Linked DNA regions of Lytechinus pictus. The protein of the gene in region 1 purifies or fractionates together with the protein of each later gene. This does not show direct contact. Links are inferred from orthologs where the notes say so. Each region holds a gene or a part of one and is shown in the gene's direction. Other genes may lie near its edges.

Region 1 (5,800 bases):
GATATAGACAAACAAGCCTTTCTGAACTATATTGTTATATCTGGAAACTTCCATTGTTTATATCTGCTGCAGAGACTCATGCAAAGTTGTTTAAGGTATTTTTTGCAAATGTCTTGAACTCTATCCCAAACAGGAGTGTAACTTCATAAATTAACAGGAAAACAATTTTATGTAAAACTATGGCTCATTAATACCAGATATTTACGAACAGGATAATCGACTTATTTATTAGGATTGCTGCAAAAAAAAGAAGGAAGAGGAGGAGAAGAGGAAGAAGAAATCTTTCTTTACCTGGTTGAGATTCCAAAGGTCATGGATGCTGGTATCCTCTTAACTTTGGACTTGCTCTTCTCTTCATCCGATATCCTGCGCCTGACATCATGTGTTGCTCTGTACTGAAACTGATCGCTAGCCGTCACCAACCCAGCACCTATACATGCTTTGTTGAGAGCAATAAAGTCTCTTTCTGGTTTACGTTCTGTGTTGCTGATGGGCATCAAGGGACCACTAGGAGACCATCCTGATAGGGCTTCGGAGGCTCCATTATCTTTGCTCATGTTGGGACGTCCATATGTGAAGTTGGCATCAGCCGGAAGGCTGTATCCTCGTTGTAAAGGCCTTCCAAGTTGAGACTGGAATGTAAAAATAAAAAAAAAAGAGGAAAAATAATTTTCGTACTTGGTAGGGAACAGTTTGTTATTGTGCAAGCATCACTACAGTATGGCAGTGTGTCCAAACTTCGCGCGTGTCCATACTTCGCGGACGGTCCTTATCTCAAAAACTAGCCAATATCCTTAAAATCTGACATCATCAACGTGAAAAGCGACCTAAAATTACCCTGTAATGAAAACTTCTTTAGGATGAGTTCAGTATTCATGAAAATATTGGCAAAAGATCGGCAAATTTGTCACCACTAGTGCCCGTTTTGAAGAAATCAACAAGCATCACGATATCACCATTTTGCAAGCGGAAATCATCAAAAATGTGAGTTAAATGTGGTACTAACCGATTCCATAGCATTTTGCCATCAATCTGATATAAATCTTTCACTTTTTGAGCTTGAGTTTTTGTTTAAATCTCCACAAAAGCTTTGGTGCGCGAAGTTAGGTCACACTTTTCTGAACGGTTTTCCAGCACAGCCCGCATTTGCCGATCGGAATAGAATTTTGAGATCGCGATACTGGCGAAACCCCTTGACCTACTTAACATTTTCGTCCATGATTTTATAGTTTACGATCTTGCCGTCAATGTGGTAACTATTTCTTGAATTGGTTTTGTATAAATTATGAATATTTTGTGAACAAAATTAAGCCTGATGAATATTTTTGAAAAGTGCGCGAAGTTTGGACACCCCATCATACCATCAATCAACGATTGAAAAAAAAAAAAAATATTCTGGGAATAGATCCATCATCTAGATCTTAACAATTTTATTTTCTCTCTCCTTTTTCTGGTTTGTATCACCCCTGTTGGGTACCTAGATGGCTGGGCTAAATAACATGAATACTAAGTAAAAGTAAAAAATATTATGAATTATGATTGCCATCTCGACCTTGGACTTGGTGGTGCATGATGAATGATGATGCATCAGTTACTTTTTTGTTAGGTTCTATTATAAAATAGCTGTATTATTTCAAGCATCGCGATTGGTCAATACGCGTCACATGACATCCAACTTTTTTTGTGCACTGCACGGTAGTGCAAAAGGTGTGCAACGAAAATTGACATTGCACGCTCGAGCAAACCAGTGCGGTAGAAGTCCAACAAAACTGTACTGTAACTTTAAAAAAAATTGTTTCTGTGTTGCTATTTTATAAAACAAATAATGCACTTGCTCTGTCGTGCGTAAATGTAAATGCAGAGAAAGCTCGGTTTCTTCAGATGGAGCACACTGGGCACTCGCCGCAAGCGGCTCGTGCACAGTGCGACTCCTATCTAAAGAAACCTCGCGTGCTCTGCATTTCCACTAACGCACTCGGCTGCATGCATTATTTGTATACTATAATGTTAGACCCAAACTTAGATCTAGGCCTAACTTAGACCTTGATATAGAATCAGGGACAACTCAATCTCGTAATGGGTGGGACAACTCGGCCCGCGGTCCGAGATGTCCCGTGGTCCGAGTTGACCCGACCCCTTGATATAGGCCTAAATAAATCAGAAATACTGTAGATTTTTACTTAGTGGGGCGATTAGATCTTTAGACTAAACATTATTCAATAATTCTAACTTAGGCCTATAGAACCAAAAACACCGGCCACCTAGCATCTCCCCTTAAGGCTTAATATTATTAACCATTAAATCAAGAGCAAAATTTAATACGAAAATATTCACCTTTTTGAGCAGCGGGTTGTCAAAAGGAGCTGTTGATGGTGCACTCATTGTTTTTCCTCTTTCGATTTCTATGAAGATTGGATTTAGATCTACCGGTATAGCCTAAAATAATATCCAGTTTAGCTTATTCCACGCCGCCAGTTCTTGCATTAACGCCTTGTTTTCACAAGCGATGAGATTCACATGGACATCATCAATGCAACAACGCAACACAAGCAGAACATTAACAGTGAACAGGTGCATGTAACCAAAACAAAACTGTATTGGGCGTGTATTGATTCGCATCTCCATGGGGATGAGTCGCAGAGGGCGACAAACGTGTGACTGAATATCCGTGAGTCCACGTGCGACTTGTTGACATTCTTCCTGATCTTGCCAGCTTGCCTTGAATAAAGACCTCGTAATCATGAGAAAATTGAAGTATCATGAACAGAAGTTGCTGAAGAAGGTTGACTTTATATCATGGGAAGTTGACAACAACCTACATGAAGTAAAAATCATGCGGCGTTACCACATTCAAAAGAGGGAAGATTACACAAAGTAAGTGCAGAATTTTTATGTGGTCCCATATGTTTCTTTTTACGTTTCTTTATCCACAAGTTCACTAAATCTATGCTTGTAAAGTTAGACCGGGCTCAATCCCATCTGATTAAGCAAGTTCTAGGGGTCCCAAAGACTGCCGCTGACGAGATTGTCTACCTCCTCACTGACCTCCTTCCAGTCTCATCACAGATAGATCTCAGGAAACTGCTGCTTCTAGGCCAACTCGTCAACCTCGATCACACACGCTTTGAGTTTAGAACATTCTTAGAAGCCCTCAACTTCACTCTGGGGCTACACCGCTATTCCAACGCGTGTTGGAAAAGTCGACGCCAGACGGGTACGTTTTGGCCTTGAATTTCCAGCAAATTAATCAAAATTACGGCCTAAATTTAGGTCTATGTTATCAATTATATACTAATTTCATAATTATAATGTAATATACGGGTACTCACGGGTTCTTTTCTTTCCAAATTTTGTGTTTTCATCGCCTCTTCTGGCCAACTCTTGCGATGGATTTTGTCGCCATAGGATCCTGTACGTGCAAATCCAGGGCGAGTTGTCACATGACGCTCGCGAGTCTCTAGGGGTAATGGCCTTTAATCAAGGCGTTCTTTTTGCTATAATTTTATAATGACGCTTAAATATCGAAATCAATGTAGACGAGTCTGTGCAGGGGCATAACAGGGGTATATAAGAGGGGGCATAGTACATGTCGCATGTGGAAGATACAAGTTACGTAATGTAAGTCCCGAGCACTAGCGTACCTAGGGGGGGGGGGCAGTCTGCCCCCCCCCCCCCCCGATGAGTCACAAACCCATGCAAATTACATATCTCTGCCCCCCGGCCCCCCTGACGAGCTTGAAAACCTATTTTGCCCCCCCCCCCGACGAGCTTGAATACCTATTTTGCCCCCCCTGGCGAGCTTGAAGACTTTTTTTTTCTGGTACGATTGAAGACCTTTTTCATTGAAGAGCCTTTTTTTCCTTTTTTTTTGCTTGTCAAATTTTTTGGTGGCCGATTTTGCCCCCCTGTGGAAAATCCTAGGTACGCCATGCACTGCCCGCGCTACATGTATGTTGGTAGCCCTGGGACCTCTGGATATTAACTAATCCAATTTAATTACAGATGGCAGATTTTTTTATTATCTGAGTAGCCCCCCCCCCCCCCCGGATTATTTGTTCTCACATTACTTTCCTTTTTAAATTTCCTTTCGTTCTTTCTTTCATTTTTCTTTCTTTCTTCCTTCCGTTGCTCCTATGTTTTTTTTTCAGGTGAAATCCACTCGGGGGATGGCCAGCCATGCCCCCATCTGTTTATGCCTCTGAGATGTAGGCTATACTCATGATCTTAATCTTCGATTTTCCAAAGTAGGGGGGTGCAATTTCTCAAGTAAAATTTGACAACCCCCCCAAAAAGGTTATCACAGAAAAATTGTCATTTTGTCTCGCGTAAGATTTGACAAGTAAAAAGAAAAGATGGTTACTAAAAATAAAAGACTCATTTTGTCCGTGTAATATTTGGCAAGCCTCCCCCCCCCCAAGTTTAACATATCGGAGGCGCGATGGCTCAGTCGGTAGAGCAGGGGTTTCGGATTCCGGTGACCCGGGTTCGATTCCCAAGTGGTGCGCTAGTGCCCTTAAGGCTTATCCTCATTACCAGGTCCCTCGGAGAGGACCTTAAGCCGTTGGTCCCCTGGTTGCTTGCTCACAGGCATTCGTGCTTTTTTAGCAGTCAGGTAAAAAATCTCGATATAACATAACATTAAAAAAAAGTGAAGGTCATTTTGTCCTGCGTGAAATTTTAAAAGTAATAAAAAGATGGTCACTAAAATTGAAGTTCATTTTGTTTGTGAAATATTTGGCAAGCCCCCCTCCCAAAAAAAGGTTTTAACTAAAAATGATTGAAGGCCATTTTGTTCCTCTTAAAATTTGTCAAGTATAAAAAAAAAAAATCACTAAAAAATGAAGGTCATTTGTCCCACGTAAAATTTGACAAGCCCCCCCCCCTAAAAAAAAATGAAAGGTAGCTGATAATGATTGAAGATCATTTTTTCTTGCATAACATTTTACAAAAAAAAGTGTGTCACTATTTGGCGAGCCCCCTACCCTCCAAAAAAAAGGTTTAATTAATAATGATCGAAGGTCATTTTGTCTCTCGTAAAATTTGACAAATAAAAAAAAAGTTGTCACTAAAAAAAGAAGGTCATCTTGTCGCGCGTTATATTTGGCAAGCCCCCACCCCCCTAAAAAAGTTTGTCATTAAATATAGAAAGTCATATGTTCAAAGTAAAATAAATTTGGGAAGCAAAAAAGAAAAGGACAAAAAAGAGCAAAGAATATGAACAAAATATCCCCATTACAAATATTGCTGTGATTCTCATAAGGAGGTGGGGGGGGGGACTTAACTTTGTACGAACGACATTTTTTTTTTACATCCAAAATATTGACTATGAATCTCAAAAGGTGGAACAGGCCAGAAATGCTCAACCCCCCCCCCCCCCCCCCGATCTGCCATTGATTCCAATCGATAATGACTTTTCCCTGCAATACTGATGCTTGAAATCAAGATACTGAAGATTGATATATTGTAATATAAATTATGAACGTCTGACAAAAAGATAACCAACCGATCACCTGACCGATCAGCTGACCAGTACGTGAATCACATCGTAGTTGATCAGTCCCCACAGCGTTTGGAACGCTCACCAAGAATTCAAGAAAAAAGACTGAAAATGTAAGTTTAACCTCAATCCATTAAATTTCAAATGTCGTAGAAGTTTCCTTATCATGTTTAAAACTAATTAATACCTAAATTGTTACCATCCACTATGTATTAAGGCGTACATTTGCCAAAGTTCTTGGGTGCAAATAGAAACGGCAATGTCTAACCGGTTTTATCGCTGATGTCGCCTATGAGGTCCATA
Region 2 (5,800 bases), on another chromosome or scaffold:
AAGAGAGCACAAACAGGGCCTTTGTAATACAATGTATGTATACAAATCTAAGAAATGCATTGAAAACTGATAGAATATATTAAAGCTTAATTTTTATCCTTTTTGATACTTGTAATAAATTGCATACAATGCTACATACATATTTTACACTCGGCTGCTTATCCCTCCGAAAAAAATTGTAATCAAATTTCCATTGTCTCTAAAATCAAAAGCTACATATTATACATAACAAATTGTGAAACAATCAAATACATCAGAAAATAGCACACTTGTATTTGTATTTGGTCATACAAAGTACAAAAGGCATGATAATTTTCATATGTAAAAAAAATCCCCCATTACATACATATATACAATACTAAAGTTGAAAAAGAGCTTGTAATTTATATCAGAAAAATAAAGAAATACATTAGAAATTACAAAAACAATATTTTAAACAAATTCATTTCGGAAATTATCTACATGATATTATATTATATAAATTATGATCACCTTCATTTGGCAAAAAAGAGGCGAGTAATTGTGATTTTGCTTAATTTGCATAATTTATTAGAATTAATTAGAAGAAATTATTTTACACATATAAAGAAGAAAAATTACAAAGTGACGTGATTACACATCAATTGAGCTTTCTTTCACCTTTCCATTGATACCTAAATTACTTCAAAGGGCTCAAAAATAAAGAAGTTAGAGCCTGTTGAAGACTTGAGTTTAAAATGGTCACAAAAGTCGGTTCTGTATTCCATTGACTTTACATTAAGACAATGACCACAAATTTGGATGAATATGCGCGACTTAAACTGGAATAACTTTATAATTTCTTGATGAAAATAAGAGTTCTTGGTACCATTTGAAAGGTCTTTTTAAGAGCTTTCAAATGATACCAAATTTATTGATATTTGATGATTTTCATTTTTTGTCACATACCTACCTCCTGCCTCCTCTACTCTCTAACTTTAATCCAGATCAATTCAAGCTCCTCCCCTTCCGTGGCCCAGATCTGTATTTTCCATCTGAGTCTTGGTTAGAAATTCTGCATTATCAATATTATAACTGTATGATAAGGGCCCCAAAGTCTACGCAGTCCCCCTTCAGGTCGAAATATAGCCTAAACGAATAACTGCATAACGGCACACACTTTGCTAACTGTATAATATTACATGACGTCATCTAACCCAGGGAGCCCGCGAAGCGGGCCAGAGCCCAGGACTCGTCCGTGTAATACTAGGCAAACATATATTCTCCAAAATGGGGTAGAATGTGGTCACAATATTAGCACTCCAAATAAAAGGGGGGGGGAAATGAATTATGCACTTACCTCGATTATATGGATGAAGGTCTATCGTGACACACTAATCCTGACATCAAGGCACAAACTGGACCCTCAAAAAAAGGAAAAGTTAGACGTCTATGTCGCGGTCGTTTTGGTATCGATCGGCCATTTTGTTTTCAATTTTGACAGAAGGAGAATGAACGAGACAGAACTTTTCCTTTTTTGAGGGTCCAGTTTGTGCCTCCAGTTTGTGCCTCGATGTCAAGATTAGTGTGTCACAAACTCACGATAGACCTTCATCCATATAATCGAGGTAAGTGCATAATTTATTTTTACCCCTTTTATGTGGAGTGCTATTGCGACCACATTCTACCCCATTTTGGAGAGTATATATTTGACTAGTATTACACTGACGAGTCCTGGGCTCCGGCCCGCTTTGCTGGGTTAGATGTCATCCTGCTAGCCACTCATTCTATGAACAAGGTTATGCCAGCTAGCCTATGATCACATGCCAATTTATGAATGAAAATTCATGCGCATTGCAAGGCTCCCAATGCCCAGCACAAATGGCATCAAAACAAGTGTGCAATTCTCTATCACCCCGTACCAAAATCGACATAGAATTTCAATTTTGAATATATTTTTCTCACTATTTTCTCAACGATATCGCGATCGCATAGTTAAGAGTATTTTTATTACTTCTCGCTTTTCTGTCAAAATCATACAGAAAAGCGCCATAGACACATGTTTGTCAGTTACAGAATCTATCGCAACGTATACAAAGTCATTGGAGTTCCGGGTTTCGGAGCGCACAAGGAATATGCAAGAAATTACTGAACCTCAATGATTTTCAAACGATACTTGAGCGATCCAATCACGAGCCGAGACCATTGTAAGTGTGGAAAACGTGACTGGATATCGTTATCGCTATCGATACTTTCGAATATTTTTAGGCCGAATTATTTTTGTGACCACGTGATCATGACGTGATCTGCACGATCAACCAATCAGCGGTCTCCGAATCACTGCCGTGAGCTGTGCGGAGCTTGGCTGTTTGTGCTACACAATCATTGGACAACATTTCGATGTGCCCTTGTCAGCACAAACATGTATCTGCGTGGTTCTAGAAAAAAATAGATAGCAACGACCACAAACTTTACATCTGCATGAGACGGATATTCATCAGAAAATCTGACTCTGGAAATTATCGAATTTCGTGCCAACTGGGCATTTCATTTGATGGCTGGCCCTAAAAATGCAGCCTATCTCATCAAAATCCCTGAATGGTGTGTATAGTGAATGTGTGCACAGACATGGGGCATCATTTTTTGTTCAATATGAAAAAGACTGGCCAAAGTTTTCCAAAGGAAATCATTTAGATCTATTTCTTTCAATTTTTTAATGAGATTTTGGCACACTTATAAGAATATAGGGAACACTGTCAACTGAAAATTTTTGTGAAATAAAAATAATTAAATTTTCATGTTAAAAAATCTTAAGTTAGTACACACGCAGACATGGGGCCCCCCTTCATTATCATTTGTCAGTTTCCTCTAATGTATATTACTTGTTAGTTTTGTTTTGATGTGTGTTATTGCTGATTGTATTGAAGCATAAAATCTATAATAATTATAATGTTCTATAGACTATACCAAACTTTACCATTAGTAGGTCTACCCAAGCAATGAATGAATGAATAATTACTATCCTTTCAAAGAACGATCCACACACCCCCTAAAAGTCTCAATAACATTGTTCCGTTTGTCTAACTTTGGCAGGAAAGGCGGCCATCGCAAGAAGGCGGAGGAATCTGACTATGACAGTGATGACCCTAGAGCATACGCCAAAGAGAAAGAACCAGACCCGTCTTCCAGGGACTATATCTATGATGAAGTTGACGAGTTTCATGCCAACAAAGAAAAAATCTCCTTGGATGTAGGCACAGCGCTAGGACCAGCTGATAGCTCTGACAATGAGGTACATGGATGTGCGTTCCATCTTACAAAAAGTTGTGATTTATCTGATCAACCATAACTCTGGAAAGCCAGCAATGCCAACTAAAATACATGTTTGTTCATAATTATATTAGATATGATGTATATTCGTACATTCATCGTTGTCTTGAAAATTTAGTATGCTCCCTCTTCGTTTACAAAAGGACAATGTACAAATTTCCTGGAGGAAATATTATGACATTGATTGATTTCTATGTAGTTGAGGTTGATGGGATCAATCAAAATTCTTTGTAAGACAGGACACTTATTGATCAACATCAATGAAGAAAATCCCAATTTCATAATTTTTTTGTAAACCATTTTTTGTGTCAGGTGTTGTGCAGAGATAACTTTAAAAAACTATTGATGTATCAGTTCAAAACAGTTTTAAGGTTGTTTTTTTTTTTTGGGGGGGGGGGGCGGGGGAAAAAAATGGAGACGGCAGATAAAGGCGATGAGTTTAGAACACTAACTTGGTTATCTTATCTTACCTCAAGTGACATTTTATTTTTGATGTAGGAGGAAGAGGTTCTTGGCTGGGACGACGAGGACGATGAAGAGGACGCCATCTTGAAAGAGAGATTGCAGCGCTTCAGGAGGCAGGAGAAGATGGATGAGATGGCGAGCGATCTGGAAGACGAGGAGGATGACGACGACGAAGGCGATGGGGATGCAGACAAGATAAGCTCCAAGGCGTGGGGAAAGAGAAAACAGAACTATTATGACACCGACTATGTGGATGATGACCTTCCAGGTGAGTGATCCTTCTTTGATAAAAAGTTGGGATTGGTTTCAAACAAGCTCAACTATGGAGAGCCAATATTGCCAGAATTTCTTATCGAGATTAAGTTCTCACTGTTCGTTTGTAGACAAAATGGAGTTTGATGCTGATTGGTTTAATCGATGATGGAAGCGCCATTCGACATCATTTTACAAGAATATTTTCTTGGGATATGAAGTTTGAGAAAACGAATGATGACATCATGTCTTTGTTTATTGCCTGACGAAACATAGCAACGTACATAACAACGTTTGATCCATCGTGAGACAACTGATTACTACTCTTCTACTCAATCATTCGCCACGATGAACCTCTTCCTTATCATCGAATGATAACAATGTTGGCCCTCTACAGTTGGGATTGATTTGAGTCAATTGCACCCTTCATAAGACACTGTAATTTCTTTGCATTTTGCATTTGTCTGTCGATGTTTGAAATTTTGAAGTTGCTTTCTCTCTTGGAATAATTGTTATGTGCATTTCTGTTGACATTCTTACTGTCAATAAAGATTAAAGTATCCAAATTGGATTCCAATTCACGATATCTTGATTGAAAGAAGAGAATCAAATCTATTACACCATAGCACTTTGAGGTGTAGTGGTCAGTGGATAACTCTCAGTCAGGACTATCTGAACCACAAGGTACCTGGTTCAATTCCCTGTTGATTGTCTTTTTATTTTCATTTTCATTCTTGTACATTTTTTTTTCATGACCACTTTTGTAGGTTTGGATCAGTTGGAGGAGACTGCCAACCAAGAAGCAGAAGAGAAAGAAGCCCTAGCCATCCAGAACAGAATGGCCGAAGCCCTCCAGGATGATGACTTTGGTCTTGATATCTTCAAGGTATGCATAAAATCATCTTTGTTAATCATATGTGAGCTATCATCTTCTGTTTGAAAGCCTGTTTCTGAATGCACTTGAAGAGAAAGAGCTACGTGTATAGCCACTCACATCAGGATGACTGAAGCCCCCTAGGATGATGACTTTGATCTCAATATCTTAACCCTAAAAGGACTGGGCTATTTGAGATGAATTGGGGGGCCATGATGGCCCCCCTTCTGATCTTGGTAGCCGTTCGCGCGATCGCGCCGAAATTTGGCACGCACATTCTTTACCACATAAACTACAAGCTAGTATTAAAAAAAAAAATCTGAAAATGTATTTTTAAAATCATTATTAATAAAATATGCAAATTTATTCATGAAAAACATTTGCATATTTAACACCCTATTTCACTTCAAATTTTCTTCTTTTTTTGCAGATTTCATCTTTGTAATCTAATATAAAGGTTTCCACAAAGAAAAATTGCGAATGTATTTTCTTGTTTTCAGAATTTCTTATGTATTTCATTGTTTTTTCATCTTTTGTTTTTCATTGTTTTTTTTTCAATGGAAATTATCACAGACCATTAAACAACTAAATTAATTAAGCAGACCACTTAGACTGAAAAATAATCACCTTTTTCTGAATTTCATCTCCCGTAGACTTTGTACACAAAGTATGAAAACGAGCCATTTTCGGCATGATATTGCCTCGTAAAAAGTCATGTGGCGTCGCGATGGTATACCCATGTGTCGCGAATTTGGTCTCAAAAGTTGCGCGAGAAAGTCATAAAATTTTGCGGCGCTATTTTTTTTTGCGTTTCGGAAATATCGCGCGAAGCATCGAGGGGGGGGCATCATGTATTTGTGTAGTGCATATATGTGACTCAGTTTCCAACAGGTCAACTCAAGATCAATATAAGTTTATAAA

The links. The genes of interacting proteins can lie anywhere in the genome.
Region 2: the proteins of U3 small nucleolar ribonucleoprotein protein IMP3-like (region 1) and something about silencing protein 10-like purify together in Homo sapiens (affinity purification with mass spectrometry; 3 studies listed by BioGRID and IntAct, with this or other methods). This does not show direct contact. The link is inferred for Lytechinus pictus from reciprocal best matches to the Homo sapiens genes IMP3 and UTP3.

Annotation. Positions count from the first base shown.
Region 1 is NC_087259.1:28,241,326-28,247,125, reverse strand, and holds the start of U3 small nucleolar ribonucleoprotein protein IMP3-like, read left to right. Parts: upstream 1-2,639; 5' UTR 2,640-2,740; coding exon 2,741-2,874; exon of another isoform or gene 2,875-2,895; intron 2,896-5,800. Other genes in the region: cilia- and flagella-associated protein 77-like, read right to left, coding at 292-632, 2,335-2,382. UniProt on the Homo sapiens protein: Component of the 60-80S U3 small nucleolar ribonucleoprotein (U3 snoRNP). Required for the early cleavages during pre-18S ribosomal RNA processing. Part of the small subunit (SSU) processome, first precursor of the small eukaryotic ribosomal subunit.
Region 2 is NC_087258.1:9,776,742-9,782,541, reverse strand, and holds the start of something about silencing protein 10-like, read left to right. Parts: upstream 1-2,254; coding exon 2,255-2,259; intron 2,260-3,051; coding exon 3,052-3,250; intron 3,251-3,786; coding exon 3,787-4,021; intron 4,022-4,772; coding exon 4,773-4,891; intron 4,892-5,800. UniProt on the Homo sapiens protein: Essential for gene silencing: has a role in the structure of silenced chromatin. Plays a role in the developing brain. Part of the small subunit (SSU) processome, first precursor of the small eukaryotic ribosomal subunit.